3 linked regions of the Caenorhabditis elegans genome follow. The protein of the gene in region 1 interacts with the protein of each later gene in a pairwise test. Each region holds a gene or a part of one and is shown in the gene's direction. Other genes may lie near its edges.

The links. The genes of interacting proteins can lie anywhere in the genome.
Region 2: the proteins of unc-13 (region 1) and Y55F3AM.13 interact in a two-hybrid assay, tested with the Caenorhabditis elegans proteins (one study listed by BioGRID).
Region 3: the proteins of unc-13 (region 1) and rbm-25 interact in a two-hybrid assay, tested with the Caenorhabditis elegans proteins (one study listed by BioGRID).

Annotation. Positions count from the first base shown.
Region 1 is NC_003279.8:7,419,950-7,426,782, forward strand, and holds the start of unc-13 (Phorbol ester/diacylglycerol-binding protein unc-13), read left to right. Parts: upstream 1-2,835; coding exon 2,836-2,908; intron 2,909-3,008; coding exon 3,009-3,038; intron 3,039-4,984; coding exon 4,985-5,084; intron 5,085-5,379; coding exon 5,380-5,490; intron 5,491-5,723; coding exon 5,724-5,854; intron 5,855-6,833.
Region 2 is NC_003282.8:1,053,202-1,059,046, reverse strand, and holds Y55F3AM.13 (FH2 domain-containing protein), read left to right. Parts: upstream 1-2,733; 5' UTR 2,734-2,746; coding exon 2,747-2,875; intron 2,876-2,916; coding exon 2,917-3,502; intron 3,503-3,566; coding exon 3,567-3,712; intron 3,713-3,759; coding exon 3,760-3,963; 3' UTR 3,964-4,024; downstream 4,025-5,845. Other genes in the region: znf-782 (C2H2-type domain-containing protein), read left to right, coding at 1-202; mrps-25 (Small ribosomal subunit protein mS25), read right to left, coding at 1,533-1,631, 1,680-1,846, 1,896-2,142; dcap-1 (mRNA-decapping enzyme 1), read left to right, coding at 4,261-4,359, 4,409-4,518, 4,585-5,269.
Region 3 is NC_003283.11:12,495,580-12,505,526, forward strand, and holds rbm-25 (RRM domain-containing protein), read left to right. Parts: upstream 1-2,633; 5' UTR 2,634-2,713; coding exon 2,714-2,753; intron 2,754-2,825; coding exon 2,826-2,884; intron 2,885-2,932; coding exon 2,933-3,037; intron 3,038-3,085; coding exon 3,086-3,241; intron 3,242-3,296; coding exon 3,297-3,357; intron 3,358-3,674; coding exon 3,675-3,809; intron 3,810-3,919; coding exon 3,920-4,014; intron 4,015-4,156; coding exon of another isoform or gene 4,157-4,189; intron 4,190-5,695; coding exon 5,696-5,796; intron 5,797-6,085; coding exon 6,086-6,653; intron 6,654-6,984; coding exon 6,985-7,507; intron 7,508-7,610; coding exon 7,611-7,801; intron 7,802-7,847; coding exon 7,848-7,937; 3' UTR 7,938-8,126; downstream 8,127-9,947. Other genes in the region: W04D2.4 (C2H2-type domain-containing protein), read right to left, coding at 33-118, 172-449, 495-1,151, 1,532-1,743, 1,789-2,055, 2,107-2,175; T28H10.1 (L-aminoadipate-semialdehyde dehydrogenase-phosphopantetheinyl transferase), read left to right, coding at 8,226-8,395, 8,443-8,618, 8,670-8,799, 9,098-9,222, 9,267-9,523; nlp-46 (Neuropeptide-Like Protein), read right to left, coding at 9,684-9,770.

The DNA of each region.
Region 1 (6,833 bases):
ACAAATCAGTAATAAAAATTAAAAATTATTGATTTATTGATTTTTAAATTGAAATCAATCGTTGTTATGGAATTTTTCACACCTGGGCTATTTCAAATTCTAAGTTATTACAAGCTAACACACTGTGGCTTTCTCGACATGAGCAAATTGGAAAAGTTCAAATCCACCAGAATTGATGAATATTTCATTTAAAGCTTTTTATCAATGCTCAAATGTTTTTTCCGCTCGAATAAATCTAACAAAAAATGACGATGATGAGATGGTGAGATGAAACAAAACGTTTTTCTTTTTGGTTCTCTTTTTTCCTTTTAAAAGATTATATTAAAGATATATTATAGCTATATCCAACTCATAAAACAATTTTGTTGTACAAAACTTTTATTTTCAATTTTCCGATCAAAAAATTTATCCATAAATAGTGAACAAGTGAAAAACAATTTTCAATTATTTTTCAGCTGTTTGATTTGTGTATTTTATGTGCAGTCGCATTTTATCGATCATCATTGTCCGTCCAAAGTTATTCAAAATATTTTTTGAAAAATTAAATCGCATTTTCAAAAGGTTTCTGAGATGCAAATGATTTCAGATTGTAAGTTTTCATCAAGTGATTAGAAATTTTAAACTCCCGTTTTGAAATTTTGATTTCATTATGGCTTCAAATTTCCTTTCAAAATATCAAACCCTTCTCATCTGCTATGTTATAATGATTTGTTTTTTAGTTAGAGAAATGGTACAATTTGATATTTGTTAATATGTAAACATTTACGTCAACATGTCAAAGCGTTATTGTAACTTTCGAGAAATACGAGAAAATTGTTTCAGTTTGAGAAAATTCGATGCAAAATGCTCGAAAATGTCGATAAGTGTGCTGGGTTTTTTTAGAATTTAGAATATGAAATATTCAGACACAAAATTTCTGAGAGAATCTTCATCTTAACCGTTTGATGCATTACGACCATCCATTTAAAAACTTTTTGATAATTTTTGTGACTGATCCTTTTACAGATTTTCTTCTTCAAATATAAAAATTTCAGAACTAATTTTCGATATTTAAAACATGCTGGAAACTATCTAATTTCCTAGAAAACATCTTGATAATTAAAAATATCTTTTTCTGGAACACAACCCTTGAAAATGGGTTCTTCGTATGATTTTAAAACCTCATCGGAACACAGAATTTGATATGAATTCCCATAGCAAGTCTGTTTTGAAGCATTGAGTGGCATCTAGGTCTAGAAATTGGAATGGAGAGCACTAGAGCGTGAGAACCGTCCACATACACAAACACATATAAACGTCCTCCTATTGTCCATTTCTGAAACCCAATTGGTGAAAAAGTAAGAGAGAGAGAGGGACACCAAAAGAGAAATTGTGGTGAAGGGAAGAGTGGTGGTAGTGGGTGCAACTATCTCTGGGTTCTCCGAGAATTCAGTGCTCCGTGCTCCTCTAGCTTGGCTCCGCGACGTCTTCTGCTACTCCGTCCTCAATTTTTGCGAAGGGGGGAGTGGCGAATAGGGGGTAGAGAGCGGGAGCAGAAGAAGAAGAAAGCACAAGCTCATCCAGTCGCCGTCTCCACACTCTCCGTTATACTTATTCCGGTTCTCTGCGTCTATTAGTTTGAATCACTATCTCACTGGTTTCTTTAGTATATACTCCAAAAAATGCTACTTTTTCGCGCATTTTGCGTTCGTTTCTTTTTTTGGACTTTCTTAATCAACTTTTTTTGTGGTTTGATCAAGATTTTTTCGTTTAGGTTTGGAATTTTAGACAAAAATTATATTAAAGAGTTTACAGCTTTTTTGTCCATAAGAAGTTCATGTTGAAGTTTTGTTTTTTTATTGTAAAAATAATGTAGCACCAGTCAGGATTTTGTCAAAATCAAAAATAAAAGTGCTTAAATGAGACCCTAAAAAATTGTTTCAGATTTTTCAAATGTTCAGTCAAAATGATGTTATACTGCCAAAATTTAATTTTGCAAACTCTTTAATTTTTTTGACTGGTAACAAAAATTTCGTTTTTTTAATTTCGTTTTTTTTTTTTTTTTTTTGAAAAAATTTTCACTATGTTCCACTTTTGAATGTTAAAATCACTGAGTTACTAACACATTCTTGAAATTTTCTCATTTAAAGAATAAAAACAACTTTGACAAGAGAAAGAAGTAAAACAATATAGTTTTTCTAAACTTGTATTTACTTTTTAACCCAGTTTTTCGTATTTCATAGTAAAAAAAGTATAGAAAAAAGTGATGCATTTTTCATTATAATGCAGAAGGCACCTCGAGGCTATACGCATTTTCTTAGCAAAAAAAGGAGCTCATTTTTTCTGTATTTTATGACTTTTCATCATGTCATGCATATAATTTTTTATTCATTGTTATGTAGGAATTGAGAGTTTTGTTTTTAATTTAATTTTTATATAAAATTAAGGGGCTTTGAACACGTTCTATCTATAACTTTCTTTGAACAAAAACTACAAAACACAAATTTCAAAGATCTCTGGATCTGTCTGATTAGGCTGTTAGTTCTTTTGAACTTACTTACTTCTGCTTAATCCAATTATTTGTACCACTCATCACTGACCTTCAGTTTAACTTTTGTCTATAGGTTAAACTTGATCTCAAGCTTTAACTCTGCACCAGGAACTTGAACCTAAACCTGATCTCTAATTGATTCGCTAAAACCTTAAAATTCTGAAAATCCTGATCCAAAAACTCTCCAGGAGACCAAGTTGTTCTCGGCATTGGAACAACTGGTCGGCGGCGCGTACCCATCTGGGGAGGCCGCTTCCTCTTCAACCATCGCCCAAGAATATGCCACGTTTCAACAATCAGAAGGGATGGATGACGTTGGAGATTACAATGATGATCAACTTTCAGATGGCATGAGCATGAGGTTGCTCTGCATTACCAGTGAGTTGTTATTTGTGTTCTTCTTGCCGTCTCGAGAATACATATATACGAGACCATCGACACTCAGTTATGGACGAGATGTTAACATTGATTGTTTCAGTTAAAAAAGCACGACTTCAAGGAGCTGTCGGTGAGTATTTCTATTGATTTTATAACTTAAAATATATAGTTCAGTTTTCATTTAAAATAATTTATTTCGTTTGAAAAATACTGGAAATTCCCTGAAACTTGAAGTAGATAATGTAACAAATATTCTGAGAGTTCTGCCAATTTTTTGAAAAAAATCTGAAAATGTAACAGTGTGCCAGTACTGTTACAATTAGTCTCGATGACCATAGAACCAAAAGATGCTCCTGCTCCAAATACTTTTAAAAAATCATAGTCAGAGCTAACTGAAAATCAAGTGGCTCTTCCACTTTATGAATCATCACTTTATCTCAACAAAAAACTATTAACTTGCCAGATGTCTGAAATGTGGATCTGACTTTTTTTAAATGAAATGTCCACCTCCTTTGGGTGAAAGACTAAAAAATCTGAATAAATCCCTTTCTGCAAATCGAGAAACGATCATGCGTGGCGTTGCTCCGATTTGTAGTTGTCGCCTGAGAAATTCATCATTCGTGACACCTGTCATTCCAGTTTCACGGGGCGACCTCCCGAATAATAAATCTCATCGTGAAACGCGCGTTTTCATGCTTCGATGACACACGAAATAATGCACAACTTATACCTCAACATCACGTACAAGATGTGCTTAGTATTCTGAATGTATGTGTATGCACCCGCCTCTTCTATTTTCCCATCCCTTTTTTTTGGCAAATTTTAATCAAATTTTGGGACCTTTTTAGAGTAAGATAAGAGAAAAGAGTCGTTGAAGAGGCAGGAAAAGTTTAACTACATTCGTGAGCAAGTGAGTAAGTAAAAAGTAAGAAACCGGAAAAAAGTTGCCAGGAAATTAAACATAGAAGCACCGGGGGCACCTCTAAACAAGAGAGTAAGTCACTGGGGAAAACGTTTGAAATGGAATGACGAATGAATGAGGGCACCGGAGACGAAACAAGATACGGTGGACTGGAAGCTTAAAGACCAAGAAAAATGAAATGAAACTTAAACTTTGTTATTTATCATGTACGTTAAGCTCAAGAAAAAATTATGGAATTAAAATTTTAAAAAATTATTAAAAATTAAGCGAAACATATATTTCCAATGCTTTTGAAATAATTTTTGATATTTCATTTAATTTTGAGAATATAGAACAAATGTTTTCGTTTTTTTAAGTATTAGTAGTAAAGAATGTGTCTGAAGTTACACATATAGTTCGAAAAACCCCACATTCTAAACGTAAGTTGACAAAATCCCGCTAAAAGTACCCCATCTTTAAAGCATATAGTAAGAGCATATAGTAATAGTAAGAATACAACCAGCTTGTTCAAAAAATTTAACAAATCGTTCAATGTTTAGTAGCTTTTTACATTTACTATAAATCTCATGAGAAAGAACTTTAAAGATTCTTGATCTTTCACTCAAGTTTGAGCCAGAAATTGAGTTATAATTCACGTTGTTCTCTTTTTTTTTTTCTTTTCAACTAAAAAAAATATAGCTTCTTTTTTTATTGTTCCCCTGGGTACAAAAGTTTAACTGAGCGTCCCAGTAATTTTCATGAGAGCATATTTATAGTTAACGTGTTACATTCTAACTCTTGTTTTAGGACCCAATTGTTTTCAACTGTCCCATTTTTAGGATTAGCCAATAAGTTGTCCAGCAGTAAAAAAATTTTGAAGTTGCGATTTTATTTAGGATTGGAGAGATTTTGCAGATTTATAATCTTCTCTAGATTTTTTCAAATTTCTTTTTGGAAATGAAATCTCAACAACTTTTCACCTTCGTTTTACCAAAGTCTTATCAAGTTTTGATTTTTAAAATTTTGATTATCAAAACTTGGATTGAGTTGAAATTTTCTATAAATTTTAAAGAGGTTTTGTACAAGCATTAACGTTTCGCGCCCTCCCTATCATTAGAGCATGTTTTTTTTCAGTTTTTAAATTTTTGAAAAACAATTTAAATGCCTGATCTCAGATGAATTCAACTCGTACGTGACGGTGAAGCTGCAGACTGTAAAATCAACAACTGTGGCTGTGCGTGGCAACTTACCATGCTGGGAGCAGGAATTCATTTTGTAAGTTGTCATTGACAGGTGAAATACGGTAAAGGAGACCGATTTTTGTAAATGTTATAAAAAAAGAACAGCTGAAAATAGTAATATTTGATATTATGGAAGGAAAAATACCATTATGCGTAAATTGGTGTTATTTTGCCTCCTTTTTTTAGTTTTGGAACGTTTTACTTGTTTTTTTTTCATTACACTTACAATTATTTTATTAAAATAACAACAATTATATTTGAAAACCAATTAATCAAACATTAAGGTTTCAGCTAAACCACATCACCTCATATTTAATTAATTATTTCAGTGAAACAAATCGACCTGACGACGGAATGGTACTCGAATTATGGGCCAAAGGCGTTTTATGGGACAAATTAATAGGTGTTCATTATATGCCACTTTCGGAGATTAGATACAGGTAAAATTTTTTTTTAATTTCCAGTCGTCAGTTAAAATCACTCTAAAACCAATACTAAAATGGCAACATACTTTAATACAATTTTACGAAAAAATATGAACGTTTCTTATTTACAATGGAAAAGTGCAATTATTCAGTTTTCGCCACCTATAATTGTCGTAATTGAGCGGAAGTGGTTTCTAACTTTTAAAATTAATGTATCAGTTTTCTAAAAATACCCCATTGATTTTCAGCAATGCAGCAGGTTCGGGTCAATGGCTTCAAATGGATCATGAACTTGAAACAAGAAATGGTCAAACTGTAGGAACACGTGGTCCAACAGGTCATAACTTGTTGACTGATGTTCGATTTGAGCTTCCTTTTGGTGAGTGGTTGTTATTCAGAATTATAATTTCTTATAGTATGGATTTTTGTTGATATTCCCCTCCTCTGTGATTAAATCTTAATTATTTTATGCTATTATATATTCTTATATATTTCTAAATATATATATTCTAAAAGCCTGATCATGCTACTTGCTGAAGCACATTGAGCTAATTGCTGTTCATAATCAATTTACAATTTAACTTAATTAATTGCATTCAGAAACACCTAATCTAAACCAATTCAAAATTATCTTGATATTGTTCAAAACTGAACAAACTATTCAGAAGTTAGCGGTAACAAGCTCAAAATAAAAATTATCAGATTCTCCTGTATTTGCTGATAAATTCACAGTTGAAGTAATCCTTATCTTTAACGCTGAAAAATATTAGATAATATTTTACTGTTGAAAAAGTTTTGGAAAAACCAACGACAATTAAGATAAGAGTTGTCAATGTAAAGCAAATGGATGCAAGACTAAAATACGAGATTCCATCAGATTGATCCGTTGTTATTGATCATGCAACACGATAGACACACAATCTGTTACAGTTTTTTAGAATTTTATGAACATTTTCCAATATTCTAGTGAAACCTAATTGTTACCATAAGATTTCTGACATGCATTTTTAACCTAAAAATGTTACTGTCAAATTCCAAAACGTTCTTTCCCATAAAATTTTTGGAATATCTTTTTCTAAAACGCTTACAATTTTTTCTCTTTTCTTCTTTCTTTCAAAAACTGTTTCCTTCTATTTTTCCATTCACATCGTATCGGTTTCTTGACACGTCTTCTTCTCTCTTTATATTCCACGTTCCATCCGTTGTTTCTCCTCTGAACAATTCCAAGTGTACCTCATACATCAAAAACGTCGAGCACTTTAGGCTTCTTCGTCTCCATGATTCACCTGAGCCTTTCTAGTTCTCTTTTCGAAGCTCCGTGTTTCCTATACATTTTTTGAACCATTTTGCGAACAAAA
Region 2 (5,845 bases), on another chromosome or scaffold:
TCTCTCAACTCAACTATTACTTCAACTTCAACATACTCCCGACTTTAACTACCTCCTCAATCAGAACTTGTTATCCTCATTGGCCGGTCTCAGTGGCCTTTCAGCAACTCTCGGACCTCAGCTACAGGCCACCACGCCCACTTCGGCTAATCAGCAACCGTTTTTGATGGCGGCGCCCAGTGCCGTACAACCACTTGTTTGAACATTTTTTATATTTTTTTTTGCTCTTTTTACAAGAAATTTGAAGGTTTTTGAGTGAAAATTAGCGATTTTAAACGACACTCCGCGATCCCACCTGCGCGTGTTGTTTAGCGTTAGCGGGAAATTCGAAATTTTGAGTCAAAACTGCAATTTTTGCTCGATTTTCGGAGTTTTTCTGCTAAAAATCGATCGAAATTGCGAAATTTCAATTTTCAAACGGCACTCCGTTATTCCGTAGGTGCGTGTTGTTTAGTGTTGGCGGCAAATTTGAATTGTTGCTTGCTTTTTTAAGTTTTTCGACGTAAAATCAACAGTTTTAACGGAAAAAATTCAAATTTTCACTCAAAAATTTTCCTTTTTATTATTATTTTTCTTTTTTGTCATATTTTAAACAATTTCTCTCCCCCTTATTCGTGGTCCTCAAGCAGCTTAATCGTGTCCGGTAAATTTGGCCCCGCCCACTCTCACACTGGCCACGCCCACAAAATGTCTTTCACCCCGTTTTTTGTCGAAATCCGGTCGAATTTATTGATTTTTTCTTCTTTTTTTTTCGAAACATCTGCCAATTTGATCTCTATTTATCCCACCTTTCCTCCCGATTTAAAAAATTTTCCTTGCCCTACAGTAACTCCCGCCCTATGTCCCTTCAAACTTGCCCCATCCCTGAAAAAATTCTCGTCAAAAAAGTTGTTGTTCCCCGTATACACATTGATTTCTGGTCAAAATAATTGTAATTTAATACACATATAAATCATATATTATCGGTTATATTAATTTTTCAAAAAAAAATTTTGGGTCTCGTCACGAAATTTTCGAAAGAAAAGAAGTTTCTTCGAAAATAGTCATGATTATACTTATTCAAACCGGCTTGCCACGCTGATTTCAAAAATATAAGTTTCATGGGTCTCGCAGCGAAATTGGCTGGGTTACTGTAGATTTAAAGGCTAAATTTAGGCCAAAGTCGTTCAATTTTCGTTCAAATTTTAAAAATTTTAAAACCTATGCTTGAGTAAACTCATTCAAACTGGCTTGACACGCTGATTTCAAAAATATGTCTTTCTTGGGTCTCACAGCGAAATTTATCGGGTTACTGTAGACTTTAGAGCCGATTTCAGGCCAAATCATGACGATTTAGGCCCAAAATATAGAATTTTTGAAACCCAGGCATGATTATACTTCTTCGAACCTTCTCGTCGTGAATATTGCGGCAAAAAGATTGTAAAACTGAAAAAAAAAATCGTTTTTTCAACAAAAAACAAGGAAGATCGACACAAAAACTAGCTAGAAATAGGGGGAAATAGGAAATTTACACAAAAATCAATCGATATAAATTAGATGAGATTATGATTCCATCGATATTTTCCGGTGACACATTGCGGTGCTCGCAGGAGTCCCGTGCACGGATGTTGGCCTTGAACTTCGCACATACACTGAAAAAATGAACGATTTTTTGCCGATTTTTCGCGCAATTTTCAGACCTGTCGCTCATTTTTGGATCCGAAATCGGCGGGATTAAGCTTGGCAATACTCTCCAAATGCTCTCTTCGCTCCACTAATTCCGTTTTTCCTAGCGTTTTCGCCAATAATTTCTCGATTTCCTCGCGCTTCATGCCGTCCAAGTCGAATAGCACTTCCCGGCCGTCGTCTGAAACATTTTTTAGTAGAATTTTGTGGATTTTCAGCTTGAAACTTACTCAGATATGCTCTGGCAAAGGGCGTCACAACTTTATCGGCATGCTTAACGAGCTGAACTTTTGGATTGTGATATTGAAGCTGCGCCCAGTTCCAGTAGACGAAATCTCGTGCTCCAGACTGCTCGGGCGTCGGATTTTTATGAAAACCCATCGAGAACACGTTGACGTTGTCGCGAAGCTTCACTTTTCCCTGCTGGAGATAGAAGAATGTCCGCCGAAGCGGCATGGACCCGTGCATGAACGGCATTTCTGGTTTTGAGCTGAAAAAGGAAGGAATTTCGTGGGAAAACGCTGAATATGAGATTACGATAAATTTATGCAAAAGATAGAATTAAAAAACCACTGGAAAAAGCTAAAAAATCGCTTGAAAATGAGAAAAAAAATATATAATTAAAATAAATAATTTTCCTCCCAACGACACTCCGATATCACGTTGTGCGCCTTCTTTATCGTAAATCCACATTTGCTTTTATTTCTGATTTTTGGGTTTTTTAGCTGTTTTCAAGCTATTTTATATCAAAATTCAGTAAAAACCGGTAATTTTTCGTCTATTTCCCGCAAAAATTACATAAATCATGTAAAAATGCTGATTTTATACCAAAAATTCACTAAAAATAAATAACACGCACTTGTTAATTCGGAGCATCGTTGTTTTAAACTCTAAATTTTTTTTCCAGAAATTTGATGGTTTTCCCAGTTTTTCAAGCATATTTCATGTTTTTTGGTGCCTTTAACGCTTCTGAAAAATTTTAGATTCTCGAAATTCCATCTTACAATCTCTCGATTGCTCTGAAAATCTCAAAAATCTCAAGATTTCGTATAAAATAGGATTTTCCAGGGTAAATCACGCGATGCCAATGTACAAGCTGACACCGACGTTCCCACCGAATTTTGAGGTTCATCCGAAAATCGCCTGCTATCCAGTAGGTTCGTATCATAATCCATCTTTCGGAGGAGTCGGGCCTTCTGATGCGGTGCAGGTAATAGACGGATTTTGGCTCAAAAAAAACTGAAATTTCAGGTAGAATCCGATCCGCGCAAGGCTTTGGAGCACAAACAGCTCTCACTGATCGAGCAGCTCAAAGCACAGACCGAAGAGCTCAAGAAGTTGCTGGTAAGCCTTGGAGAGGCTGGAAAAGCAGAGAGATCTGCTCAAAAACCTGCGGAAAAAGCGCCAAAAGAGCCTGAGAAATCCGCTGGAGCAGCCTCTTCAGCTCCCGGAGTCCCCGGAGCCCCCGCAAAACTAGACAAGGACGCCAAGAAGGAGGCTCGCAAGGCTGCCAAGGCAGAAGCCGTAAAGAAATTGGCTTCCGGAGAGGCTCCACCACAGAAATCCGCGAAAAAGACCGTAAATTCGACTCCATGGACCGTCCAGGACGACCGAAAGACGTGGGAGACCAATCTGACTCTCACCGTGAATCTCCCAACCTCCCTTGTGGCCTACGAGCCGCAGGAGCAGCTGAAAAACGCCACGCTGACAGTGCGGGACGTGGATTTGCCGTGGGCTCGGGCTCTCGCAAAGGTCGGCGCAAGCCGTGGAGTCTCGTTTGAGGGAGAAGTCAAAAATCAGACGAAAGAGAAGAAATCCAGTCTGAAAGTTGTGAAAGGTGCGGGATTTTTTCTCTAAAAATCAGAATTTTATGATATACCCTTAATTTTCAATATTTTCAGGCCCTGCTCCCTCCCTGCAATTGGAAAAAACTACCGTCAAATCCCTTCAAACTATCTGGAAGCTGTTGGGCTCTTCACTCGGGCTCTTCTCTAGACGGCCACAACAAGTGCTCAGCGCCAGTCATCAAGCGATTTGGCTGGGAAAAGTAGGAAATTTTAGAAACTTTCCCAAAAAAATCAAATTTTCTTTCAGGCCGAGCAAATCCTTGCCGGCTCCTGTGATCAGAGCTTTGTCACACGTGAAGCTTCTCAGTTCCTGGCTCGTTTCGACTCGTTAAGCTCTCAATGGGAGGTGTGTGTCGCTGATATTGTGTTCAGAAGCCTTCTGAACCTTGGGGAGCACCTTCCGAACAATGTGGAGTTGTGGGCTAAGAAGATTGACGCTTTGATTGTTTAGATTTGATTTATTGATGTTTTTATTTGATTTTCTCGGTTTAAATGAATTATTTTGCATTTTTATCTGATTTTTTCGTTTAAGAAACAAATTTTTTGCTTTAAAAATTCAGTTTACAATTACAACGATACTCCAAAATCCCGCAGCGCGCCCTGTTTACCGTAAATCTACACCATAGAATTTCAATTTAAATTCTGTCTTTCTTTGTTTTTTTCGCGATTTTCACCGATTTCCGCAGATTTTTTGCACTTTTCTCATCATTTTTCATCGAAAACTCAACATTTTCATCCAGGAACCAGTATGAGCGACGCTAAAAAAAAGGCCGCCGCCGAGCTAGCCGCGAAAAACCTCGCACAACTCCAGAAAATCGACATCGCCGCCAGCAAGATTCTCGACAAGGTTTAACATAGAGAATTGTGGATTTTAAAGCTAAAAATTGGTTTTGTAGATGCCATTTGCCGCGATTTATCATATCGATGCGGCGAGAAAAGAGTGGAATCAGTCGAATTGCGAAGGAACATTTTTCGTCTATCAGAGAGCTGATCGGCCATATTTTAGGTGAGAAGAAGCAAGAAAACATGCAAAAATAGCTAAAATAATCAATTTTAAACTTATTTATTTCAGTTTCCTCATCGCAAATCGCAACGATCCATCGGATTTCATCGAGCCGCTCACCCTCAACCATATTCTCCGCCACGACGGAAATTTCATCTACTTTTACAAGGATTTGGCCTCAATTCAAGCACTATGGTTCCACCAGATTGATGATGCTCAGAAAATCTACAATTTGTTGCAAAAACTCGTGAATCGTCTGAAAGGAAGCACTACGGAGCAGGCTCGGGCCGCCAAGGCCGCCTCGGAGGCTCCACAGGCTTCGGTTCCGGCTCCAACGCAGGCTCCAGCAGCTCCAGCTCAAGCTCCACAAATGGCTCCTCAAGCCCCACCAAAAGTGGATCTTCTCCAGCTCATAAAAAGTGCGCAAAATCCGCCGCAAAAATCTGCGGCAACGATCGAACAAATGCCGCCAATGCTCCAGAAGCTGATGCTCAAAGAGCCGGGAGCAGCAATGTCGGCCGATGAGCTCGAGAAGGATCTTATAAAGTCGGCAAAACCGCATCGGAATCATCTTTTGCAAGAATTTACTAACTCAACGTCGGCGATTTCGTTGGCGGCGGTCTCGACGAAGCCTTTGCATGGATCGGAGGGTGATGTGGAGTCGGATATTGCTGAAGGAGAGATTTTAGAGCCACTTGATGCTTCATTTGTCGTTGGAAGTGGTGAACAGACGCCTGTTCTCAATAAAGAACAGGTTGGAGCTGGAAAAACGTTTTTTTTTTGAGTGAAAAGCTCAGATTTTTTAGATAAAATCAATTAAAAACTGATTTTTCACGAGAAATCTCGAAAATTTACATGAAAAATCTTTATTTTAGTTGAAAAATTTTGTCAAAAATCCCATTTTTGCTCGAAATTGGAGCTAAAAAATGCGAAAAATCAGTTTTTTAACGGAAAATTCAGGTTTTCCAGCTAAAAATCTGCTTTCTCAGTGAAAATGAGCAATTTTTAAGCTTGAAATCGACTTTATTTGTTTTTCAACATGAAATTACGATACTTAAGCTGAAAATTTTAGGCCCAGGCTTAGGCTCAGGCCTAGACCTAGGTTCAGGCTCAGGCTTAGGCTTCTGCTTCGGCTTAGGATTAGGCTTAGGCTTATGCTGAGGCTCAGGCTTAGGCATAGGCCTAGGCTCAAGCTTAGTCTTGTCCTTTAGATTTAGCCTTGGGCTTAGGCGTAGGCGTAGGCCTAACCTTAAACTTAGGCTTAGGCATAGGCATAGGCTTAGGCTTAGTCTAGCTTAGGTATTGAAATCTCTTTTAAAAAAAGTACCGT
Region 3 (9,947 bases), on another chromosome or scaffold:
AATTTCAAAGCTAAACAAAAAATAATACTTACCAAAACCGTATGTTTGAACGCCTCAACTTCTTCAAGCAATAGATTCAAATTATCAACTTTGTGCGTATCAAGAAATCGATCAACAGCTGAAAAGTGTGTATTTTAAATACCAAAATAAATTCAATATATGAACACTAACCATTAGAAGGTCCTGATTGATCAGAGTCTTCAAGTTGATGCCTGGTTGACAGATGATGATGGTCATTTTGAAGATGTCTGTGATGGTGAAGCTGAAGACTGTCATCGATTTCGTCATCTACATCTCCATCAACAATCACAACTTCCTCATGTCCAGGCGATTCGATTAAAATTCGTTCATCTGTACTTGTTTTTTGTTCATTGGCAATTTGATCATTAGAACTTCTAGGAGCCACGATTACTTCATTTCCCACTCGAACTTCTTCACCTCCGTGTTCACTGAAATTAAAAAAATAGACAAATATATCATTGTTTTAATCTTACAGAATTTCATTTCCCTTTCGTATTGCTTCCTGATGTCGTTCATACGTCTGCGTTTCGACAACTTCAATTTCTTCTTCTTCAACCATCTGAGCATCTTGTACAAATCGTTCATCTTCATATTCCATTTCAATCTGGATAAATCTCGGATCATCCATATCTTCATGTTGCTCGTAACCACTACTAGATTGTGAAACATCTCCTAATGGAAAAGCCATTAAATGATCACGTCGGTTTTTGCCCACAAATACTCTTGGTCTCGGCCAGTGTTCTTGTATTGCAATTTCAGTTGTTGTCGGTTTTCTTGGTTCTGTGAATCGATGTGGAGATCTCATTGAAACTGGTGGCCATTCGATTCCTACTTTGTCGATAAGTTCCTCTTCCCAAACTTCGATTGATTTTGGAATTCCTTCTCTGCTCCATTTTTTAGTGCACGAAACTAATAGAGTCTTCAACTCATCGGTATCTACAAAGCAAACTCGCTGAGCATAAATGTTGTCTGCAGAGATGCTGAGGAAATGATGCCGTAAAAATCCAATAATTTCCATAGGAGAACTCTGTTCCATTTGCTTCTGAGCAATTATATACTTAATGACATTGGGGAGCCGCATCCGTGCGTCGTGAGCGTAATGATCACCACAAAATTCCGCAGACACATGTCTGAAAATAAAGATAAATTTGTTTATTTTTCAATTTTATTTCAAAGCAGAGGCCCCACGAAAAGGGGAGCAGAACGAAAAGAGGATCTGCAAAAAGGGGATCTGCGAAAAGGGGAGCAACGAAAAGGGGACCTGGCACTGTGCCAAACGCACAAAACACTTTTTTATTCTCATTCAACGCACGACTTTGTTATAACCACACTCCGTTGTGACGCATCGCGCGTTGTTTAGCGTAAAATACAAAAATAATGCGTGCGTTGAATGAGAATAAAAAGCGTTTTGTGCGTTTGGCACAGTGCCAGCTCCCCTTTCCGCAGATCCCCTTTTTGCAGATCCCCTTTTCGTTCTGCTCCCCTTTTCGTGGGGCCTCTCAAAGCATACCCATCATTATGTTCTGTTGCATGAATAAAAGCAGTACACGTGAATCCTAATCGAAATGGTCCTGTACGATCATTGGCTGTATTCTTATCACTACTCACATTGCCACTTCGATTGCATGCCAAAAAAATTCCTTTTCCACGCCCACGTCGTTTTGATCCCGATTTGTGTCGAAAATGAGCACCACCTTCCGACTCTAACCAGAATCTGAACCGCTGAAAAATTAATAATTATCAAATGTCAAATTTTAGATCTCCTACTTCAAATGTAGCACGGTCCGGGAATTCCATTGAATGAACATCCGGAAGAACGTCGTGCTCAATACGCAAATGACTGTGGAACTCAGGTCTCGTGATAAATTCGGAACTACACAATCCGCAACAATAAAATCTCTTTTTGAGTTGAGGATGCGAAACCATATTATCGCTTTGATTACGTCCACATCCATTATTCTTGTGATAATCGATCGTTCGAGAGGCAATCAATTTGTTGCATCCATAGGGGCATATATAACGTGGTTGTTGAGGCTAAAATAGTTCATATTAATTTGCTAAACACATTGCTGAAAACAGACATACTTTTAATTCCATGTAAGCTTCCACATGCATGTCATCTTCAAGATGATGATCATCGATATCATCAGTCATTCTGAAATTATAAATATCAACAATACATAACTAAATATTTCAAAAAATGAAATATAATTAGGACGTTTTATAGAGAAAAATAAGAACATGAAAGCACAGCGTTAATCATTTTTTATTTGAATGAAAAACAGTCGAAGGACAATCGGTGTCAAGAGTAGTTGCTGACGCAGAAGTGGTCACGAGAAATGCGCAAAGGAAAATCGATAAATTTCGTCTGCGCGTTTCAACGTATGCAATTGTTTAGAACAGAATCATCGCATTAATTTTTTACATTTTATATTAAAATAAAACCTTTACCTAAAACCTTTGTAAAACCTTTGTTTTATTAATTATTTGCATGTTATTATATAAATTTCGTTCCACAACACAATCTACTGTCGCTGAAATTGTTCTCTTGATAGTTAGGTGATAATTTATTTTCTCTTTTTTCTTTTTTACTCATTATCTTTTCTGGTCTAACTCTTAATACATTGCCATGCTCCACAACTTTTTTGTTTCAGGAAAAAATCGAATTTAGGACTTCGTTTTTCTCACGACCATGGCTTTCAGACAAGGCTATGGAGTGTCTTCGTACCCTCGTGAGTTTATTGCCTCGAGGCACTTTCTCAGTTAATCTTAAGAAAGTTTTTGTAGAAGAGTTTATTTTTCAGACTATCCACAACAACAACAGCAAATTGTTTTCGGACAGATGAGAATGCCGGGCCAGCACGTAAGCTAGTTTTTTCATGTAAAAAATAATTTTTTGTTTTATTTTCAGACGCCCGCGCAGCAATCAAGCCAACAAAAACCAGATTCGTCGCCAGTTTTTGTTGGAAACATATCCGATAAATGCAGCGATGAGTTCATCCGGAAAATATTAAACGTAATTATTACATTAGTTTATGGAATAAAAATTAATAAATTTTTACAGGAATGCGGTAATGTTGCGAGTTGGAAACGCATTAAAGGAAGTAACGGCAAATTGCAAGGTTTCGGATTCTGCCATTTCACAGATCTCGAAGGAACTCTACGAGCGCTGCGCATTCTTCACGAATTTCATTTGGGGGACAAAAAACTAACTGTAAAGGTTTGTTGAATAATGTTGTTTTCTAATCCCAACGCCAAAAGCTCTATGATTACAGCCTGACGAAAAAGTGCGTGATGATCTACGCAAAAATGCTATTGAAAATAGGAAGAGACAAGGTAAGAAATGGGTTTTTGACAGTTGAAATGTTTCATTCTAATCGATAAATCTCTTGTTTGAAGCATTATTTGCATCATTGGTTAGGTAACACCTTGTCTTTTGCATGTTTCCACGTTTTATGTTTACCGTATCACATGCTTGTAATAACCAAAGCTAGCATTTTTCACTGTTATGATTTTCAAAAATTGTTTGTATGTTTTTTTCTTTTGTCTCACTTCTCATAGTTGGAGAAAATAGCAAATAATTGTGAGCTCGATCTAATATGCCCAGTAGAAAACCAATATATCTGGATTTACCTATAGTTTCTAAATTTCAGGCAAAAAAGAACTGAAGTTAAAGCATGACGAGCTACCTGCAGACGAAGATGATTTGAAAAAAGACGAAGAAATTCGATTGAAAATACTTCATTGGATGGAAACTGATCACAAGGAACTATTTTCAATCACTGAAGGTATAACTTTACTTTTTAAAGGTGGAGTAGAGAAAAATGAACCGTAATGACCAAATATAACTGCTTTTAAAAACTTTTAAAACAATTCGTAACAGTTTTTCTGTTTCCAGATGGAGAACTCTCTGACGAGACCAAGAAAGTCAAGGGACATGATAGTAAAATCGAAAAGCAAACCGTGCCAAGTTCGTCTTCAAATCCAAAAAAGGTGAGTAATAGCTTCTGACGTGTATCCAACGACATGAGCCTTTCCATGGCTCTCCGCTGATATGAGAGGTGACTAATAGTTACAACCACTTTTAACATAAAATTTTAATTTTATGATCATTTTGACTATTCTATATAGGAACATGTATAACCAGCCAAGAATCGGAACACGATACGTAAGTTTTGACCCCATTTTCTTATATTTTTTAATATATATATTAAAACCTAAAAAGTCAATTATATGTAAAATGAGCAAATACACGAACCACATCAATATAAAAATTAATGATCACGTTAAATATGAAAAATGAGTAAATGCAAGAGTCCTATGTTCTAACCAACGCACAATATTCACAAAACTACGAAATTGAATATCGAGTAAAAATTTATGTTTCTAAATCTCACATTTCACCTTTGAAATGCATGTGTGAGTGTGCCAATTAACATGTTTCAGATTAAGCTTTTGCATGCTTTTCCCTTCTTTCTCTCTGCCAACCTCTTCTATTTCACACTCATGTCTTTTCTGTCTCACAGTCTATATTTTTTACGTTCCTCAAATATATTATCGCATTCCTCAGTTGTGTATCTCGGTCCTTTACTAATCATTGTTGGTGTGCAAAATATCAAGTAAAACTACATATTTTCTCCAGCAGGTACCAAAATGTTCCAGATTTTCTACAGCTCCTCCACTCATCAATGATTTTTGGTGGTATGTTGTTGAGTGAATATACGTATGCTTTCGATGTGTGTATGTAACCCCCCGTCTCCCCCACCATTTTTGTTCGAGAAGCCATATAAATTGCTCTGTCGTGCCTCTCATTGGGGAATTGCACCCTTCTTCTATTCCCATTCTTTTGTCCCCAGTATTCGTTTTATTAGTATCATCCTAAAATTACTTCCACTTTTGTAGGGAATATGTCAGAGACGAGCACTCCTTCATCTGCGGTAAGACAAGTTTTGCTCTCTATGTTGAAAATAATCATTTTACTTTCTTGTCGGCTTCCTGTTTTTATTTCTAGCGTTTCTCAAATTTTGACTGAAACTAGAAATTATTTGACGTTGTGTGTGTGTGTAATCCCGCACTAATCAACTGCTTCGATTATAGATTATAGAGAATCGTTTTTATCTAACTTTTTTAGCGTTTTCACTCTCAGATTGCAATACATTCACGCATACAACTTATTCTTGGGCTATACTCACTTTGTTCGTGTCTCCTTGTATTGTATTCCAAAATCGAATTTGCAGAAAAAACTGAACTACTGGATTTCCATTAGTTTTTGCCCAAATTTGAGTCGTAAGTCATCATCCCCTCCAGCTCCCTGTTTTTGTTCCGTTTAATTTAAAGACTTGCATGCTTTCTCAGTCACCTTTTTATTTGGAAAATGTTGGTAACCCTGTTTGAAAAAAAGTTGGGTTTTTAATAACTCATGGTGATGGTTTCGAAAAATTGAAGTGGCCTAATATTAAAAGTGAGTACTACTATGTGTATGTCTATGTGTTACATCAAATTCACGAGAAATATATATTCATATTCTTTTTCTCTCACTCTCTTGCTCTCTTGTCCTCTCGCCTATCAAAGTTTTTTTTGAAAAACTCGATAAGAAAATTGCAAAATAAAATACATGTAGACCAAGTGATCTCAAATATAGATTTTAAATTAATTTTCAATAATTGTATTTCAGGATGAACACAAACGAAATCGCAATCGACGCAGCCGCAGTCGCACAAGGAGCCGAGAAAGAACTTCACGACGATCGAGAAGCAAAGAATCGCCCAGAAGCAAGTAAGTGTTTTAATTTAATTTAATTTTTATTTTCAACCACTGGAGTACCGCTGGAATAGTCAAAGGGTGTTGGTTCTTCAATTTTTCACACAAATTAAAAAACGAAAATATTCCGAATTTTTCGGTATTCCGATACTTCAAAAATTTCGATTTTTCGATAGTTAGCTTATAAAATTTTAGTAATTTTTTTCTTTGTAAAATAAATTTATATGCTTTTTTTCGTCAACATAAAAATAATAAAAAAATATTCTTTAAAAAAATGTTTCAATTTCTACTCAATAATTTTCAGGCGATCACGTCGAAGCCGCTCCAGCTCAAATTCATCCTCAGAATCGGACTCATCTTCATCTCGTAGTTCATCATATTCTTCTCGATCCAGGTCACGCACTCCTCAACGTAGCAGAACATCTAAACGACGCCGAAGTAATAGTCATGCTTCAGAAGACAGCGATGATGCAAGGGAGAAACGTGCTTTCAAACAAATGATGCTTGATAAGAAGCAAGCATATCTGGCTCGTCTGAAACGATGGGAATCAAGAGAACGACAAATGTCGAAAAGGTATGAACGAGAGGAACGGAAAGAGAAGGATCGCAAAAAGACACTACAAAAGGAAGGCAAACGATTAAAACTATTCCTCGAGGACTATGATGATGAGAAAGATGATCCAAAATACTACACTTCTTCTCAATTCTTCCAAAGAAAAAGAGACTATGAACGTGAAAGGGAAGCTGATCAAAAAGATCGAATGCAAGAACAGCAAGAGATTGAAGAACTCAAAAGACAAATTATGGAAGAAGCTGCAAATGATGAGAGTATTAACATTGAAGAGGAGGCAAGGAAACGACACAAACTAAAGGTTTGCATTTTTAATTCGTACGCGGCAAGACAAAAATCTTTCGTTTCGAAGCTTCAAAGAAAAATGACTTGAAGTTTCTAAATAGGTCCATAGAACATCGATCTAATCAAAACCTACCGTATAACTAAAGAAGTTTATACACCATTCAAAATTGTTCCTAACTGAAGTTCTCTTCTTTCTTAATTCTGCCATAATTTTGAGTATTTTTTACAGTATGCCTTCCTTCCACGGGTGATATTTCTCTGGGCTTAATAGAATTGCGCTTTACTTATTTTACTACGCTTAGTAGTGATTGGCACAACTATATACATTCAGTAAACCCTATCAAAAGTTTCAGGAAGAAGAAGCAATGCGAAAAATGCGAGCTGATAGTGGAAGTCCAAATCCTCATCAACCACTTGGTCAATCGGCAAACGGAGAAAAGTCTTCGAGTGAAGAAGAGAGTGATAGCGAAAAGACCGATGTCAAAAAGGAAATTAAGGATGAAATTAAAGAAGAACCAATTGATGTAGATATTTCCGAGCATGTAGATCCTAACACTGGTTCGTCTGGTACAAATGGAAATTTCGGATGGAAAGCGATTGGAGATGACTCTTCTCTCAATACAAAAATAAACCGCCCTATAGCTAACGGAAATCAAAATCAGCCGCAAATTAAAAAAGAAGCATCTCCTATTCCAATTGCTCAACGCCTCAGTGGTGTGTTTGGAAATGATGACGATGAAGACGATGTGCATAGCAAAAAGAAGTTGAAACCATTCGAGATCACTAGAGAAGAGCGTATGCAAGTCATGTCAGCTGAAGAAAAAAGAGAGCTGACGAAGCAGATAATCAAAACTATTCCTGCTACAAAAGGCAAGTTATTTCGAAGAAAACGTTCATAAACTTTGAGTTTTTATGGTAAAATCAAAGATATGTTTATTGAAAAAAAAAACATTTAAAACTTGATTTTTTTCAGATGAACTTTTTGTTCATAGAATCGAATGGGATCAGCTAGATGGGAAATGGATGAATGATCGAATTCGTCCGTGGGTGGCTAAAAAAGTCACTCAATTCCTTGGCGAAGAAGACAAATCGTTCTGTGATTTCATCTGTGATCAAATTGAGAAACAAGCGACACCCCAAGAAATACTCAAAGACGTCGCCGTCGTGAGATGATCAATTATTAAGTAAAAATCTAATATATGGAATTCAGATCATTGACGAGGATGCTGAGCAATTTGTGATCAAAATGTGGCGACTTTTAATTTATGAGGGACAAGCCCGTCGTCTCGGAATTACATAACTACTTTCAATATTGGAAATACATTATGCAATCTTTTTACCACTCATCCCCGCCTCTGTATTGAGTTGTTCTTTACTTCAAAGACTCGTTTTACTGTCTATTTCTCTCTCCCTCTCTGGAATTCATTCCAGTGAGCAGCTGACTTAATAATCGCTATTATAATATTAAATTAAATATAGTTTTCTGTGCTATACTTCAAACTGATATTTTTATGAAATGTGGCATCTACCTCTTGATGATTTCTAATTTAGCTCATCCGTCTCAATTTTCATCATAAATTCCAGCGCAATGAGCTTAAGATGGGCAATATCGCTGGAAGAAACGATAACTTCATCTACATTCCAAAATATGTTTAGACGGGCTATTTTGTGTGCATCGGAAAGTGATGTGGAGCAGCAGAGACGGTTTCGATATAAAGAAGATGCATTGGCATGTCTGATAGGAAGATTAATTCCAAGGTTCTAACAAAATGTTATTCGAGTTTGAATAATTGGAAGACATTCAGAAAAGCTGCCACTATATCAATATCTCGTCAGTGGTCAGATCTAGAGTTTAGTCGGAATGAAAATGGAAAACCATCTCTTATTCAAAATAAATCAGACTATTCTCGTCAAAACTTCGAATACAACGTATCGCATCATGGTGATCTAGTTGTATTAGCTACCGGAGATACTAGAATAGGTTTGTACTAATGTTTTGAATTTTGATCTTATAAAGGCAAAATTATTTAAGGTGTCGATGTGATGAGAGTTAATGAAGCTCGGCGTGAGACTGCTAGTGAACAAATGAATACGTTGAAGCGACATTTCAGTGAAAATGAAATAGAAATGGTTAAAGGGGGAGATAAATGTGAACTTAAAAGGTATCGTTTCAAACTACAATTCTTAATTTTCTGTATTGTGTATATAAAAGTTCACGGATTCAATCAGATGGATCTCAGTTTATGGCAGAGCTTTTCCGATTTTCACGACAAAAAACTCAACAAAATTCATAATGACGTTATAACAATATCCTGAATAACGTCAAAGCGGGCACCGAACATATCAGTGGCGAGACCCATCCGGATAAATTCGTGCGCCTTTAAATACGAATTTCAGAAAATTGAAAACTGACAATATTGAAATCATCAGTAAAATTTAATAAATCATCCTAATTTCTAGATGGCACGCATTCTACAGAATTTGGTGTCTGAAAGAATCAATTCTAAAAGCTACGGGAGTTGGACTTCCAGATGGACTGCACAATCATACTTTCCAAGTAGATTCCAGTTATGATCACGCGTCAGGTTAACTTTTCGAAAGAATCTATCGTTTTATGTATCCTTTTCAGGTCACTCAACAGTTTCAACCCAATATTATCATCGTTTGATTCCACAACCACAATGGATTTTTGAAGAGTCATTTATTGGAGAGAATCATTGTGTCGCTGTTGCTTCAGAAGTATCTCCGTCTACTACTTCCTGTGCTATACCATTTCAAATGATGTCTCTCGAAGAAATTCTCCAAGACGCAGATTTTATAAATATTACAGCTGATGTAGATGAAGAACTTGATGTATTTATGGGAAAATCAAATAAACCATTTTGAGATCGTCAAAAAAAAAGAAAAACAAACAGATGAAGACAGCACACCAGGAAACGGAATCAAGTTGTTAAATGAAATGAGCAAGAGCAATTTCTAATTGAGATTTTAGTAGAAAATGTGATAAAAACATAATATCAAAAGAAGAATGTGCAATTTTTGTATTTTATTTTCCGGGTCGAAGACCATCACCACGCCCGATTGCGATGTTTCGTTTCATGTACGGAAGAAATTGACGAGCTGCGTTTTTCTCCTGAAATAAGAATTCATTTTGAAACTAGCCTAAACGAGGAAGCTTTTTGTATCTCAAGAATAAATGTAGAAGATAGTAAAATTTATAGTTTCTGGTGAGGAGGTATTTACAAAAACAAAAAGTTCTTAACCTAGAGTAACTTATTGGTTTAAACCACCATTGAGGTCACGCAATTTT